4 linked regions of the Saccharomyces cerevisiae S288C genome follow. Changing the gene in region 3 together with the main gene of any one other region gives a genetic interaction. Each region holds a gene or a part of one and is shown on either strand. Other genes may lie near its edges. The genes, in order: RTR2, YKR041W, YML054C-A and BNA3.

Region 1 (4,470 bases), on a different chromosome or scaffold from region 3:
AAGCCGATGCAATTAACTCTAATGCATACGTTTTGTTTTATCACCGCGTCTACGGTGTTTGATTCATTTGAATAAATAACTGAAAACCGTTGTCTATACACTTTTTTTCCCGTTCAACATGGCATATCATTATTTCCATCTAAGGTCAAAGTAAAAAACCCTAAATACAAATGATTTATTTTAACGGTAACAAACGAACTTTTTTTTAGAAGGTGTAAAGATGAGATCACGCCCAGATTTTGTCTTCCTCCTGTGCATCTCTTGGATTGATGATTTTCCTTTCTACCATAATACGTCATGAAAAGTATGTAAATATTTATAGCATTACATATATCTTTTATATGAAAAAAATCACTCATTCCCAGTCATCATCGTCGTCGTCGTCCTTGCTCTCATCCTTGTTGGCGAGGCCAACATGGTCACTAACATCTTTCAATCCCTCTTGAGACACAGCAACTTTCGTCTCCCCTTTAGATTTGTTGTCAGCTACTGCTTCTACTTTGTCATCATCTTCTTCTTCTTCTTCGTCATCCCACTCAACTTCTTTTTCCTCCGTTTCCTTTTCCTTTTTGGACAATATTTCTTTCCTTTTACTTTCTTTATCTAGAATTTTGTTTCTTTGTAAGAAATAGATGTGCCAGAAATCTTTATAGCTGATTTTATGGGGTACGATGTCGTTCATTAATTTGGAGATATCTTTGTCGCCCTGTAAAATAGAACATATCTCCTCAGTTTTTTCATCCACGTCAAACGGGTCCAGTTGCAAATCCATTTTATTGTCTAAATAAACCGATTTATCTTTAGATAATGTCCTTAGTTCGGCTTCTGTTCTATTTCCACCCACAGCAATTTCATTTTCTTTCGAATTCTCATCCTTGTCATTAGAGTCATTTTCTGCAGCATTATCGAAGCTACTGAAGCCAGACCAAAAATTCTTAGTTTTCATTTTGCTCCAATATGACTGGGCTAGACTTTCCACGCTGTGAATATTCTCGTCTAGTTTCTTCAAATACTTTTGTGCAGTCTCTGTAGTTTCATTGCTAATTGGCAAGTTAATTTCAATTCCGTCATCTTTCTCGATTACTAACTTTTTGAATGCACTTGTAGTCTTTTCATATCGTTTATTGACTTCCTCTTCTAACTTTTGGAAGGCCTCATTTGTTTTGTCATCTCGGCTCTGAAGTTCGTTATTTTCAGTGTTTTCTGTTGATCCAGTTTCCTTGGTATGAGAGTTGCTTATTTTATCATCTTCGATACAAGCTACTTGTTCTTCATAAAAGAATTCCATTTTATCCTAAAACGTCGAAGCAATGGAGCTCACTAGCTGTACCCTTATGTTGTGTTCTTTTTTTGTTGCATGACTTCTGCTAAGTGCTTTTTATCATTAATCACCGCTATTTGATGTAAGGCCAAAAAAAATGCGAAAGAAAAAAAGAGACTCTGTTAAGAAGGAAAGGAGTACCAATATAAACTATGGGTTCACAATTGCTATGAATACCCAGTTCACACATCTAGAATAAGCTATATGTATCAAAATGACACTAGTGACTCCGTTACAATTTTCGACTGTACAGCCAAATTTATATAGAGGATCTTACCCACGAGAAATCAATCTCCCATTCCTGAGAACCCTTAGATTGAAATACATATTATCTTTGACACCAGAACCTTTGAGCACTGATCCTCTAATGGTAAAGTTTTGTGAAGAAAATAACATTAAGACAATTCATATAAAATGTCAAAGTGAAAGAAAGGCAGACAAGACCAAACCCAAGATTAAAAGGAAAAAGAAAACAGTTCCTATTGAATACGATGTTGTAGTACGATGCGTTAAATTTCTGATTGATAAAGGGCATTACCCCTGTTATATGCACTGTACGAATGGTGAATTGATAATATCTCTCGTAGTAGCATGTATGAGAAAGTTTTCATATTGGAGTACGGTATCCATACTAAATGAGTTTTTGGTGTATAATTCCAGCATCAATATTCATGAAAGAAATTTCATTGAAAACTTTAACTCTGAAATCGAAGTTGACGATCTGGATATAAAGGATAAAGTTCCCTGGATTACCGTGCGATATATTGCAAGGACAGCCACAGAATCAAAAGATGAGTTGCGTGTTGATGATGCTAATGCGTCTGAAAAAGTTGCAAGAGTAAGTAGCGTGTCAAATTCTTTGCCAAAACTAAAATTTCATAGTATGTAAAATTCAGGGATAAATTCATATAATATTTTGTAAAGACAGAAGCTTCAGGGTTAAGTCTTAGCCGGGCCCTCCAGCATTGATAATCATTTTTTTCAATATCAAATGCCATTGAAAAGTCCAACGAAAATTACATCGACTTTACAAAAGAGACGAGCCGGTCACATTCTAGTATTGGCGAAGATTGGAAGCCATTTATCAACAGCAAGGAGGCATTCTGGAAAAATTGCAGCATATTTAAGAAAAGTGATAGGTTTATTTTTATACTAGAAGGACAGGAGCAACGCAAGCCATAATGCAGATAATAACCACTACGTTCATTCAAAAAGTAATTTTAGGATCACACCAATTACATGAGCAATTATCTATAGTGGAAGCCCGAATGATTGAATCTGCCATAGTTTCAATGCTCACAGAATCATTTTGCGAAAATGAGCAGACATTAAAATACTTAGCACGGCTACTTTCACCGATGTCTTATATGGATGTTATTAATGCAAGAAGGGGAAAGAAAATATGTGGGTACCCGCTATGCTATAAGAGTGCGGCAGAAAATTCATCTGATGGCTTCTTTATCCACTCAATGTATTGTAATAATTATCACAGTAAATGTTCGTTGTATTTAATGAGACAGTTATCACAAACGCCTCTGCATGAAAGGCGAGGCGTGCATTTAACTAGTTACATTAATCTAGAGTTTGATGATATGTACTCGGTAAGCCTTTTAGAAGAATTAGTTGGAAGTGAGGTACCTATAGATACCGTCAAATCGCTGATAACGAGTTTCAAGGATCTTGAGTTTGATGATACCTACAAGAATGAGCCTTTACCATTGGATGTGTACTTTGGACAGTTGACTACTGATGAGGAAACCTGTATAGAATAGGAAGTATAATTAAATCGTCTTCATCAGGATCCTTATCGCGGTCATACGAGTGACTATTTACATAGAAATGGAAGTAACCAGTAAATTTTCTATTAAACTTTCTGATTCACGCAACTTTTGCACTTAAAAACCGTATTTCGCCAAAACACTTGGCAAGTCCCTCCCTTCTATAAAGAGTGTCACATATGGTAATGTTTCTTTGCTCATTTTTCTGAATAGTGTCAACCGTTTGGCGTACATTTCTTTTGACTTTTTATCAAAATATGCTAGTTGGCCACCGTTCTTTAAAAGCTTTTCCTTATATTTGTTAAAGTACTCCACTCTTTGAAAACTTTTGGAATGTAATTCGAACATTATTTCTCTCACGGGATCTACCCATTCTTTAACTTTCTGATATTGACTCGAAGGATTACATTTAGTAGACTTTGGGATATTTGCAGCGTATTCCAAGTATTTCGGTAAGTTTACTTTAATAATCTTTTTCGACTCTAGATATTCCTCCCAAATGGCCTCATGTAATGCCCAAGCAGCATTAATTTCGCAAAAATTGAGATTATCGATATTTTTCTGAGAATCCTTCCTTTCTTTTCGTATCAATATTCCCAGCTTTTTCGATTGTTGTCTGCCCTTGTTAATTGGTGACCGAACAAACCATATTTGATTCCTTCCTTCTTTTGTATATGACAGCCCAGCAGAAGGTGGGCCATTTTTCAATTTTTGCTGAATATGAAATAGTTTCAGGCACGCATGTTCGTTCAATGCTAATGGTAATAGGAGTTTGTGCTGATACGTTTTTGGTATGTATGCAGGTAAAAGGCCCAAATCTTGTTTTCGCTTAATGTAAGCACTTAGAACATGAAATCTTCTTACTTCTTCTGGGTCGTTGGTCTTTACATCCCCTAATGAAGTCAAAGAGTTGAGGATTTTCGTTGTTTTCAGTTGTTTTTTCATCTTTTTTAATGGCTTCATTAAGTTTTTGATTTCTTGTAATTTACCTTCCAAAAGGCAATTGTTCAACAAACTGAATTCATTGAGTAAAGTATAAACACTCCAACTTGACTTGTCATGCTTGTGTTTGAACAATTGTATTGAAAGTGTTTTTTTTATTTCATATTGAAACGCATATGAGTGGCAACACTTTGGAATGTTTCTGAGAACGGTCCGATATAAGCTCAATACGTAAGACTTGTGAGAAGGAATCTTTCCAAAATTTTGAGCCATATTTTCTACTTGTTCATTACAAAAGTGTTAATCTGTTGCTTTCTCAGGCAGACTTGGTAACTGAAAACCTTAGGAAAGGCTGGGAGCAGCTTTGAAGTTAGAAACGGACACAAAAATTAGCAATAGTGAAATAAAATAAAATGCAACTTATCGTTT
Region 2 (2,780 bases), on a different chromosome or scaffold from region 3:
TTCCCACTTGTTATGGTTATGTACATCGGACACAAGATCTATAAGAGGAATTGGAAGCTTTTCATCCCAGCAGAAAAGATGGACATTGATACGGGTAGAAGAGAAGTCGATTTAGATTTGTTGAAACAAGAAATTGCAGAAGAAAAGGCAATTATGGCCACAAAGCCAAGATGGTATAGAATCTGGAATTTCTGGTGTTAATGAATCGAACAACGACAAAAAAAGACTTTATTTTTTAGATAATCATAATAAATATATTTATTTTCTCGTCATTAATCTAAAGAAAAAAGGGAAATGTTTATAGTCAAAAATTGTATATTTCCGTGCACTAATAAGATAAATTATACTATGAAAGAAAGTAAGGTATTTCTATTTTTTTACTTTTTGTTATTTTATTTATGTTTTTCTAGGAAATGTAAAAATAAATCTTTTAGTAGACAGCGAGATGAAAACTAATCTGTGTGAGCTTCAATCAATCAATATGATTTCCCCGCATTTTGTTTGATATTTTAATTGATTCCGATTAAATCCGCTGGTAGCAGTTTTGTTTCAAACTAATTCAGCCTCCTTACTCCCCATTTCCTTATTGAACTTTGGGGATTCGGAGTTCCTTTTTTTTTCCGCCACTCCGATAACTAAACTTTGCAGTTTCACTGCTTGTTAAACATTTTCCTACTATAAATGACATTTAAAACGTAATTGAGACAAAAAAAGTTAAATCGTTATTAACTTTCACTGCGGCTCCGCTCTTTTCCTCATAAGGAAATCCCCTCTTATGATCTTGAGAAATGGGGGAATGTTGAGATAATTGTTGGGATTCCATTGTTGATAAAGGCTATAATATTAGGTATACAGAATATACTAGAAGTTCTCCTCAAGGATATAGGAATCCTCAAAATGGAATCTATATTTCTACATACTAATATTACGATTATTCCTCATTCCGTTTTATATGTTTCATTATCCTATTACATTATCAATCCTTGCACTTCAGCTTCCTCTAACTTCGATGACAGCTTCTCATAACTTATGTCATCATCTTAACACCGTATATGATAATATATTGATAATATAACTATTAGTTGATAGACGATAGTGGATTTTTATTCCAACAGATCTTGATATAAGCCCTGTCATTGATTGCAAATGCACAAATTCCGGAGATTGAACAGCCAACACAAAGATAGTATTTGGGACTTAGCGGGTTGAGAACGGTAATTATATCATGAATACTCCACTCCAAGCTTGTTTGATACATCACATTCTTGTAAAAATATATGATCCAATTCCTAGGACATCAGAAAATATATCTACTATGGGCGTGTGGCGTAGTCGGTAGCGCGCTCCCTTAGCATGGGAGAGGTCTCCGGTTCGATTCCGGACTCGTCCATTTTAAAATTTCTTTTTTTTTTTTTCTCTTTCCGTATGTAAGCTTTTTTCCTTTTTTTTTTTTTTTTTTTTTTTTTTTTCTTCACTACTTTTCAATGAAACTCTCTTCAAAAGACAGCATGCAGTAAAAGCGCCGATATGAGTGACGACGATTATATGAACAGCGATGACGACAACGACGCCGAAAAAAGATACGTAAGGCCAATTTTCGTCAGAAAGCGCAGGAGAGAAGAAGACTACGTTGCAACTAGCAAAGACAACATCCACCACCACCCATGCGATTGGTCCGCGAAACCATCGCAACGTCAAAACGAAAATGAGCAAAAAAGCACCATACGGCTTGTACCAGTGGCGATGAATACGCCGAAGTGTCAAGAGAAAAAAAAGAAAAGAAAGGGCGTTGGTACAACTAGTCATGAGGCTACGCTTTTCGAGTACGGTGAAAGCATAGCAGGCTACAAGTGTGTTACAACCGAGAGCGAAAGAGACCGCTTGAAACGAAGTCATGAAAGCGAAAGCAGCAGTGAAAGCGAGGTAGACGTTTTCGCCTTTGACCAGGCAAAAGGTATCAGCTCTAAGGTTGAAGCCGAAGAACGCTACGCGCGGGCCGTTCGACAGTATTGGCGCATGACCAAAGACGAGCCGGCTACCTTACCACTGCCAGGCACACCTACCCTAGCGGCTGTGAGTTTAGATATGATTGATGACAAAAGCGTAGAACAATTTTACACAATGAGCAGTGCCTTGATGGATGCAAACAGACTAGACTTGATTCGCCGCGATAGAATCCGGTGGCACCCGGACAAACATCGTTATCATAAGTCCAAAGTCACAAAACTGTTTCAGGCCATTAACGGCCTGTGGGAGCAAGAAAAGACCGAGAAAAGGTAATGAAAAAGTGGAACTAGACCCCACGTCAGCGGGCCTAGGCCCTTCAATGTGTTAGAATACACAGCGTGCCTAGTTCCTGGTGCCTGGATCTCGAGGCCGCGGCACTGGAAAAGCCCTTTCTTTTCCAGATCGGGAAACCTAATGAGTCCATAAAAAGAAATGTAGAGGTGGTGTTGACGTTTTGCCGCTTTTGGGCAAGTAGGTCTTTCTGCACGGCCCGGCCCGGGTCGTGCGGAAAAAGAAAAAAGCAGACAAAACAAAATTTTTCCTTTTTTTCGCCTTTGTTTCTCCTGATTCGGGTATATAAGTGAATACCATCTAATGTGTTTCCTTCTCGAGACCTCGGCGTCTCCCAGATCAAAGCTCAGCAAAGATTTTAAACCGCAATTTACGCTCCTTTCATCGGTAACTAAGAAGAAAAAAAAAAAAGTACGACCACACAATTTCCAGTGTATTCATTCCTTAAACTTCGTTTATTTTTTATTCATTCATTCATTTTT
Region 3 (3,950 bases):
TATCTTTTTCTCTTTGACCTAAACTTGGAGCATCCACAGTGACAAATAATGCCTTTACACCCAGCTTTTCTACATTTTTAACCAAATCATCAGTGATCTTTCTATCAGAGTTAACATATAGTTGGTACCATTGAATTTGTTTATCAGAGGGTGCTGCTTCAATAATTTCCTCAGGGGAACATGAAGCCAAAGTAGATATCATTTGTGGGACTTTTGTCACACCTTGGCCACAACCTCTGGCGACATCTTTTTCACCTTCTAAGGGGTTTCCCAGTTTACACAAAGCTGTAGCAGACACGTAGAAGGGAACATCCACATGAGAACCCAACATGTCAGTTGAAATGTCTACTTTGCGTACATCTACAAGGATCTTTGGTTTGAAAAAAATCCTATGATAAGCATTATGGTTTTCTCTGTGAGTAACTTCGTCGTTAGCACCGGAGGAATAGTAGGCCCACGCTTGTTTAGTCAAAGTTTGAGAGGCCAAGTATTCAAAGTCGTAAAGGTTAATAATATTATCTAGAGGAGGTAGCAGCGATTTTAGTTGTTCTTTTCTAGCGATATCTTCCTTAGTTTCACCAGGAGCATAAGGAGGACAGACAAGTTCAGGAGGCATGGATCCTTGAAGGGGACCCAATTTTTTCTCGGGAGCTATATACTTATCGATGACATTAGGAGCATGTAGTGGTTCAAAAATAGCAGTGACATCTTTCCCGGCGTTAAACTTGATAACATCCTGCCCACCTGGATGATTTGGTAGGAATCGCGTTAAGTCGTATACGTAACCATTGATCACAACCCAACAATCATCGGGCTTGTTATGCTTGGCAACTTCAGCGGGCGAAATCTTTTGTTTATTCATATCCAGTTTCGGCTCGTTGTCTATTTGGCCATTATGCCAGTTTAGATACGCCACGGAACTAGTAGCGGCTAGAATTGCACCGACTCTCAAGGCAGTCCATGACTGTGTGCGTTTTCTTGAGTCTTGTTCGAACGACTTGGATTTTGGAACGGTAGAACCGTACGCGCGGATTGTGTTCAATCTAGTCTTAGACGCTCTGAGGATAGCAGCCTCACAGTTCTTCGAGATTTTTAGTAAAGGTTTGTATTTTAGCATTGACTACTTTTGTTTGCTTTCTTCTCTATGCGGGAACTGTATTAGCGACATAGGATGTAAGAATACGAAAAGATGCAAGAAGATTAGTCGACCAGGTACTTATATATTCACATACTCCAACTGAAAGTATTGGAGATCTAAGGTTCAGCAGTTGGTTCTTGGCGGTTCTTGTATGACATTATTATTGGTCGGGTCGTAGTTCTCTCGAACAGGAGGAGGGGGCAAGGAGATATCGGCAGGCTTTTTGCTAGCGCCTTGTTTGAAAAGCGTGGGGGTAGGTCTCCAAGCGATTATTGAGGAAGTAGTTTCAAGTATTACAGAGTCCAGGGCACAAGGGTCTTCATTATAGAGAGAGAATTTTCGTGAAAAAAATGGGCAGAATGCCACATGTTAGCAATGCAACGACTTGAGTGGGGGGTGATCCTTCCGATGTATGCGTGAAAGATCTCGTGTTGTGCAGGAAAGGGAATCATTTCGGAAAAAAAAGATGCAACAAGGAGGATGGCATGTGGATACTACGTTCTTGCGTAATATCCTTTTTGTTGCCTGTGTTAATACGTGAGCAACATTTTTTGTTAAAGTAGGCGATCAACTATTGCCCCCTGATATTGGTAGTAATTCTGCTAAAATATCGGCTGAGAAATGGTGATTCTCAAATAATTGCTGGGATTCCACTGGATATGGCCCCATTCTTAGATATATGGAACGTAGTAGAAGGCCTCTTAGAGGCTATGGGAGTCTCTCAAGAGAAAATCGACATTTTTACGTAATCATTCGTTCATTTCACTTTATACGTCATGATTCAATATCGTATTACTTTATCAAGTACCCGCGTTTAAACTTCATTAAATGACTGCGTCTCAATCTTTATGTCATCCTCCCTCCGCAAGTGACAATGTACTGGTAAAATAAAAACTAACTAACTAGATGATATTTTTAGAGTTTTATTCCAACGTTTCTCAATAGGCGATGGAGGAACAGAGTGAATATAAGAGGCTCTGTGGATTTATGGTTACCGGATTTATTTCGTAAATTCTTATTGAAGAATGGGTGAATTTTGAGATAATCGTTGGGATTCCATTTTTAATAAGGCAATAATATTAGGTATGTAGAATGTACTAGAAGTTCTCCTCGAGGATTTAGGAATCCATAAAAGGGAATCTGCAATTCTACACAATTCTATAAATATTATTATCATCATTTTATATGTTAATATTCATTGATCCTATTACATTATCAATCCTTGCGTTTCAGCTTCCACTAATTTAGATGACTATTTCTCATCATTTGCGTCATCTTCTAACACCGTATATGATAATATACTAGTAACGTAAATACTAGTTAGTAGATGATAGTTGATTTTTATTCCAACACTTATATTCTATATATCCATAACATTGTCTACATATAATCCGAGAGGTTACGACAACATTCATATAATAAGGGTAGTACTGACACTTTATTTTGAAGTAAATCAAAATAGTCACTCTCGGTAGCCAAGTTGGTTTAAGGCGCAAGACTGTAATTTACCACTACGAAATCTTGAGATCGGGCGTTCGACTCGCCCCCGGGAGATATTTTTTTTCCCTTTTTCTCCAGGCCTAGTGAGGTTTGAGTTTTGAACGTTTTATAGATAGATGTAAGGTAGCCAGAATGAGCACTTAGCCTTTAAAGTAAATTGAGTAGAGATACGTAAACAGTCGTGATAAATATGTAATACATTGTATTATTTTAAATAGGTTAAATTTTCTTTTTTTTTTTTCCATTTCATTTTCATTTTCATTTCCTGCAGTTATTTTTTTTCTTATTAATCTATATCCATGTAATCGTTAGCGATATTGTTGTTAGTCAACGCGGCCATGGCAGTACCGGGTGCTTGTGATGCAATTATACTTTGGGATGGTAGAAGATGATACTGGTGTTGTATAATACTAGCACTTCCAGTAGGACTCGTGCCTGTTATGTCGCGATTAGTGTTACCGAAATAACCATGAATCATGTACTCTTCTGTTTCAGAATAAAATTCAGATTCGTTCAGTAAGCGGCTGTTCATAGTGTGGTGCATACTAACCGGTTTCAGGGGACATATTTCGATATTTTTTTTATAATGAATATTATTGTAGGTTGCAGTATTATTGCTGTTATTATGATTATGGTTATTATTATTATTATTGTTGTTGTTGTTGTTGTTGATGATGATGTTGTTGTTGTTGTTATTAAGATTAGCACACCCGGAACCGACCGAAAACTTTGTACTTACAGAATCTCGTTTTGTTCTCTTCGATCTTTGGTAGAAAGTGTGTGTATCAAACTCGAAATGGTCATTTTTTCTTTTATTCATGATCGTATCATTATTGGCGTCGCTGTTGTATGTAGTGGCGGCATTGCTACCGGAATTGCAATTGTTTGTTTGGAACGCAGTATTGTGTTCATAGTATGAGAGCATTTCACGCAGCACACTTGAGTCTTAAATTAATGAATAAAAGCAGCCAACCCCAAGAAAAAAGAGCCCTTATCTGTTTCTGTCGCAGTCCTATTGTATTCTTCCTAACTATATAATTTTGTCAAAATGAAAAATATAAAAAAAATAATAAAGTCAGCTGAGTGGTAAAGAGAAAGCAAAGGGAGAGAAAAATCGGTTACCCAGATGGATTAGGTTACCCAGATGTCATACGTGTATCATGATTTCTAGAAATTATTACCCTGTTTGGTACCATGACAACGGATATGGCAATCTTGCATTAAGTAAAATGTCTCTAATGGGACCGTGAAGGTACAAAACAGCAATGGTCTAGGTAGTGGCATTCGAAGCTTCGAAAGCGTGGCCTCGCCT
Region 4 (5,186 bases), on a different chromosome or scaffold from region 3:
AGGTTCAAGGACCATTCACGATAAACCCCTTTCCCGGCGAGCTGTATGACTATACTGCTACAAATATTGCAACCATACTAATTGATAATGGGCAAAATGAAATTGTTTGTGTCAGTTTTGATGATGGGTCTTTAATCTTACTCTTCAAAGATTTGGAAATGTCAATGTCGTGGGATGTTGACAATTACGTGTATAATAATTCTTTGGTTCTAATTGAACGAGTCAAACTACAAAGAGAAATTAAGTCTCTAATAACGTTACCTGAACAGTTGGGAAAACTTTATGTCATTTCCGATAATATTATACAACAAGTAAATTTTATGAGCTGGGCTTCTACATTGAGTAAATGTATCAACGAATCGGATTTGAATCCACTTGCAGGATTGAAATTTGAAAGTAAACTTGAGGATATTGCCACCATAGAAAGAATTCCAAACCTAGCGTATATCAACTGGAATGACCAATCTAATTTAGCCTTGATGTCGAATAAAACATTGACTTTTCAAAATATTTCAAGCGATATGAAACCGCAAAGCACCGCAGCTGAAACAAGTATCAGTACAGAAAAAAGTGACACGGTAGGAGATGGTTTTAAAATGAGTTTCACACAGCCCATAAATGAGATTCTTATTTTGAACGATAATTTTCAAAAAGCCTGTATTAGTCCATGTGAACGAATTATCCCATCAGCAGACCGCCAGATACCTTTAAAAAACGAAGCTAGTGAAAATCAGTTGGAAATTTTCACGGATATTTCCAAAGAATTTTTGCAAAGAATTGTTAAAGCTCAAACTTTGGGTGTTTCTATCCACAATAGAATTCATGAGCAACAGTTCGAATTGACGCGCCAACTACAATCGACATGCAAAATAATTTCAAAGGATGATGATTTAAGGAGAAAATTCGAAGCACAAAATAAGAAATGGGATGCACAACTAAGCAGACAGTCAGAATTAATGGAGAGATTTAGTAAATTGAGCAAGAAGCTATCTCAAATCGCCGAATCCAATAAATTTAAAGAAAAGAAAATAAGCCATGGTGAGATGAAATGGTTCAAAGAGATACGAAACCAAATATTGCAATTCAACAGCTTTGTTCACTCTCAAAAATCCCTTCAACAAGATTTATCGTACTTGAAGAGTGAACTAACTCGTATCGAGGCAGAAACTATCAAAGTCGATAAAAAGAGCCAAAACGAATGGGATGAGCTACGCAAAATGCTTGAAATAGATTCAAAGATAATTAAAGAATGCAATGAAGAATTGTTACAAGTTTCTCAGGAATTTACTACTAAAACTCAATGAGTAAGCGACTTGCATAGTCTGCTATCATATATGTACGCTAAGAAACAACTGGGCAATGGTATAATATCATGTAGCAAGAGGACATTATATATGAATTGGTCAATATATAAAGCCTTCTGTGCACCAAATCGTTAGGATGATTTTTCAGTATGCTGTATCATTGTATCGTATATTCATTCGTATCTCTTTTACCTCACTAACCGCTGCCAAAATTTACATGTATACAAAATAAAAGTCTTTTTTATGACCTTATTTGGTGAGTAATGCTACTTTTGTAAAGAGTGATGGAAACTATTATTCCAAAGGGTTAGAAGAAGGTGAGGAATACGTTCATATCACCGCTACAGATCGTGTCTCTCGGTTATGAGTAATCAAACCCTCTGCAAGCAACACAGTTACTTTTTTTCGGTTTTTTCTTTTCGTGTGAATTTTTATCCAGTGAGTTTCCTTGTTCACTTTCGAGAATGGAAGGCTGATTTCGAATTTTTATATTCAACAACTGTATTTGTATTAGGCTTTGCAATAGTAGATGAAAAGTGCAGAAGACGAATCTGCTACCCTCACAATACAAAGAAAAACAAAATCGTCATTTTAATATAGGAAGACACCGCTCAGGTAATTCAATATTGAATCTGGTTGCACTTTTCTTACGATGTAAATACCCACAAACTTCTTGTACGGTGAGCGTCTGACAACGAAATCAATTTACGGAGCAAGGATTTTGACAGTAGAGCAGATTGTTTTGAGTAGGATTTAGGAATCAAGACCTCCATCTTTGTCGCATTATTCCTAAATGTAACGTAACTCGTTTGATAAGAGAATGTCTAATCGAAGAGAGTTAATAACTTAATAAGCTCTTTAAAAGAACGATGGCATTTATCGTCTCCTATGCCAAGATAATTACTGGCTCAAAATTGTTCAGCGTTCATAAAACTTTGATATCACTTTCTGGCGCACAAGCTAACCTTTATGTAGTTCTTACGTAGATTCTTTTTAGCAAGTGCCTGGTAGTGGTTATTACATAAATGTATCTTTTCATTTGATAACAATTTCTTCAGTAGCATGTCGTGTCTAGCACGTGACGTAGAACTGTGGCTTTTTTGTTGTCATTATGACAATCAAGATACCAAAATTCAGTCATGTTTAAAAGGGGAAGGTACGATAGAGATATATATAAAGTGTTCAATTTACTATAATTGCGTATAGAATCCATTGTTACTTGCTCTCAATGAAACAACGATTCATTCGTCAATTTACGAACCTAATGTCTACTTCGAGACCGAAAGTTGTTGCCAACAAATATTTCACTTCTAACACTGCCAAAGATGTTTGGTCGCTAACCAATGAAGCCGCTGCAAAAGCTGCCAATAACTCCAAAAACCAAGGCCGTGAACTTATTAATTTAGGCCAAGGCTTTTTTTCATATTCCCCTCCTCAATTCGCCATTAAGGAGGCTCAGAAAGCCCTAGACATTCCAATGGTCAATCAATATTCTCCAACTAGAGGTCGACCTTCATTAATTAATTCCTTGATTAAGTTGTATTCTCCTATTTATAACACAGAATTGAAAGCGGAAAATGTTACCGTAACAACAGGTGCCAATGAAGGTATACTTTCTTGCTTGATGGGGCTTTTGAACGCTGGCGACGAGGTTATTGTTTTTGAACCTTTCTTTGACCAATATATTCCAAATATCGAACTTTGCGGTGGTAAAGTTGTTTACGTCCCCATAAATCCTCCAAAGGAATTGGATCAAAGGAATACTAGAGGTGAAGAATGGACCATTGACTTTGAGCAGTTCGAAAAAGCGATTACATCCAAGACAAAAGCTGTCATTATCAATACCCCTCACAACCCAATTGGTAAAGTTTTCACGCGCGAGGAATTAACCACTTTAGGTAACATTTGCGTCAAGCACAACGTTGTGATTATATCTGATGAAGTCTATGAACACCTTTACTTCACTGATTCTTTCACTAGAATTGCCACACTCTCTCCAGAAATTGGGCAACTAACCTTAACGGTCGGTTCTGCCGGTAAATCGTTTGCTGCTACTGGTTGGAGAATTGGTTGGGTCTTATCCTTGAACGCAGAGTTGTTAAGTTATGCAGCTAAGGCACATACAAGAATTTGTTTTGCATCTCCATCCCCTCTACAGGAAGCTTGTGCAAACTCTATTAACGACGCTTTAAAAATTGGGTATTTTGAAAAAATGAGACAGGAATATATCAACAAATTCAAAATTTTCACATCGATCTTTGATGAATTGGGACTACCATATACAGCTCCAGAGGGTACATATTTTGTCCTCGTTGATTTCTCTAAAGTGAAAATTCCCGAGGACTATCCCTACCCAGAGGAGATCCTGAATAAGGGAAAAGATTTTCGCATTTCTCACTGGTTGATCAATGAATTAGGTGTGGTTGCCATTCCACCAACTGAATTCTATATCAAAGAGCACGAAAAGGCTGCTGAGAATTTGTTAAGGTTTGCAGTTTGTAAAGATGATGCTTATCTAGAAAATGCCGTAGAGAGATTAAAACTACTCAAGGACTACTTATAAGATAAATTTTTTTTTATACTCCTTTTTCTCAATATATAGATTTTATAAAGCATGTATATTTTTATGCAGAAGTGGTAAATATAAACATCAATATTCCAGAATAATTCCATATTTTCTTCGCGTACTACAAGAAAAAGTGAACCCTTAATGAAAAATAGACAATATGAACATTTAGTAATGTTTTGAACAGTGTATTTATAGAGTACTTAAACACATATGAAGATATAGCGCAAGTAAATATAAATGAGTGACAAATCTCATCAGATATATTGCTACTTTTGGCTCTTTGGTTTGATCAATAATGTACTTTATGTGGTAATACTTTCAGCAGCTGTTGATATCGTGGGTCCTACCTTGCCTAAATCTCTAGTATTGCTAGCAGATATATTCCCATCACTCGCCATTAAATTGTGTTCCCCATTCTTTATTGATAGAATCAAGTACAGCTATAGAATATGGTCTTTGATCACGATGAGTTGCTTAGGAATGTTCTTAGTTTCTTTTAAAAACTTGTTTGTTTGTCTTTTAGGAATATCTTTCGCATCTATATCTTCCGGATTTGGAGAAGTGACATTCCTACAGCTAACACACTATTACAAACAAATTTCTTTGAATGGATGGTCGTCAGGTACTGGTGGTGCAGGAATCATTGGCGGAGCATCTTATATGTTCTTAACTTCAATCTTTAAAGTTCCAGTGAAGCTAACTTTACTAGTATTTAGTCTCCTTCCATTTGCATTTTTGTTTTATTTTAAATTAGAATCCAATGATACCAACCTGACTTACCAAAGTCTTCAACAAATTGACGAAGCAGAGGATGACCAGTTGGTGCCCTTTCCTGTCGCCTTTACACATACCAACGCTTCGCAATCCCTGTATTCTACAAGACAGCACATTTTGCAAACGGTCAAGAGACTTCGAAGATTGGTTTTTCCATACATGGTTCCATTGACCACCGTCTACTTATTCGAATATTTAATAAACCAAGCGGTAGCTCCGACCCTATTATTTCCGATTAATGGTGATGAAAGAAGTAAATCGATGCCATTTTTCTTCCATAAATACAGAGATATATACGTAACCTATGGAACGCTCTACCAATTAGGTGTCTTTATATCAAGATCCTTTGGACATCTTATGAGAATGAGGAGTTTATACATCTTAGCGTTTTTACAAGGTGTGAATTTGTGCATAACGGTACTGCAATCATGGTTTTATGTCACACATTCGCCCTGGGCGGTGATGATATTAATATTCTATGAGGGTTTTCTTGGTGGTGCGTCATATGTTAACACATTCTTAAATATTCTCGAACAAGA

The links.
Region 1: mutations in YML054C-A (region 3) and RTR2 together harm fitness more than expected from each alone (negative genetic interaction), as found in Saccharomyces cerevisiae (one large-scale study listed by BioGRID).
Region 2: mutations in YML054C-A (region 3) and YKR041W together harm fitness more than expected from each alone (negative genetic interaction), as found in Saccharomyces cerevisiae (one large-scale study listed by BioGRID).
Region 4: mutations in YML054C-A (region 3) and BNA3 together harm fitness more than expected from each alone (negative genetic interaction), as found in Saccharomyces cerevisiae (one large-scale study listed by BioGRID).

Annotation. Positions count from the first base shown.
Region 1 is NC_001136.10:580,531-585,000, reverse strand, and holds RTR2 (putative protein-serine/threonine phosphatase), read left to right. Parts: upstream 1-2,502; coding exon 2,503-3,093; downstream 3,094-4,470. Other genes in the region: ubiquitin-specific protease DOA4, read left to right, coding at 1-62; DOS2 (Dos2p), read right to left, coding at 356-1,288; OCA6 (protein-tyrosine-phosphatase), read left to right, coding at 1,536-2,210; RRG1 (Rrg1p), read right to left, coding at 3,217-4,314. UniProt on the Saccharomyces cerevisiae protein: Probable RNA polymerase II subunit B1 C-terminal domain (CTD) phosphatase that regulates RNA polymerase II transcription. May have functional redundancy with RTR1.
Region 2 is NC_001143.9:516,671-519,450, forward strand, and holds YKR041W (uncharacterized protein), read left to right. Parts: upstream 1-1,527; coding exon 1,528-2,280; downstream 2,281-2,780. Other genes in the region: amino acid permease GAP1, read left to right, coding at 1-201.
Region 3 is NC_001145.3:166,192-170,141, forward strand, and holds YML054C-A (uncharacterized protein), read right to left. Parts: upstream 1,591-3,950; coding exon 1,432-1,590; downstream 1-1,431. Other genes in the region: CYB2 (L-lactate dehydrogenase (cytochrome)), read right to left, coding at 1-1,117; YML053C (uncharacterized protein), read right to left, coding at 2,925-3,563.
Region 4 is NC_001142.9:320,854-326,039, forward strand, and holds BNA3 (kynurenine--oxoglutarate transaminase), read left to right. Parts: upstream 1-2,532; coding exon 2,533-3,867; downstream 3,868-5,186. Other genes in the region: linker nucleoporin NUP82, read left to right, coding at 1-1,304; amino acid transporter YHC3, read left to right, coding at 4,111-5,186. UniProt on the Saccharomyces cerevisiae protein: Catalyzes the irreversible transamination of the L-tryptophan metabolite L-kynurenine to form kynurenic acid (KA).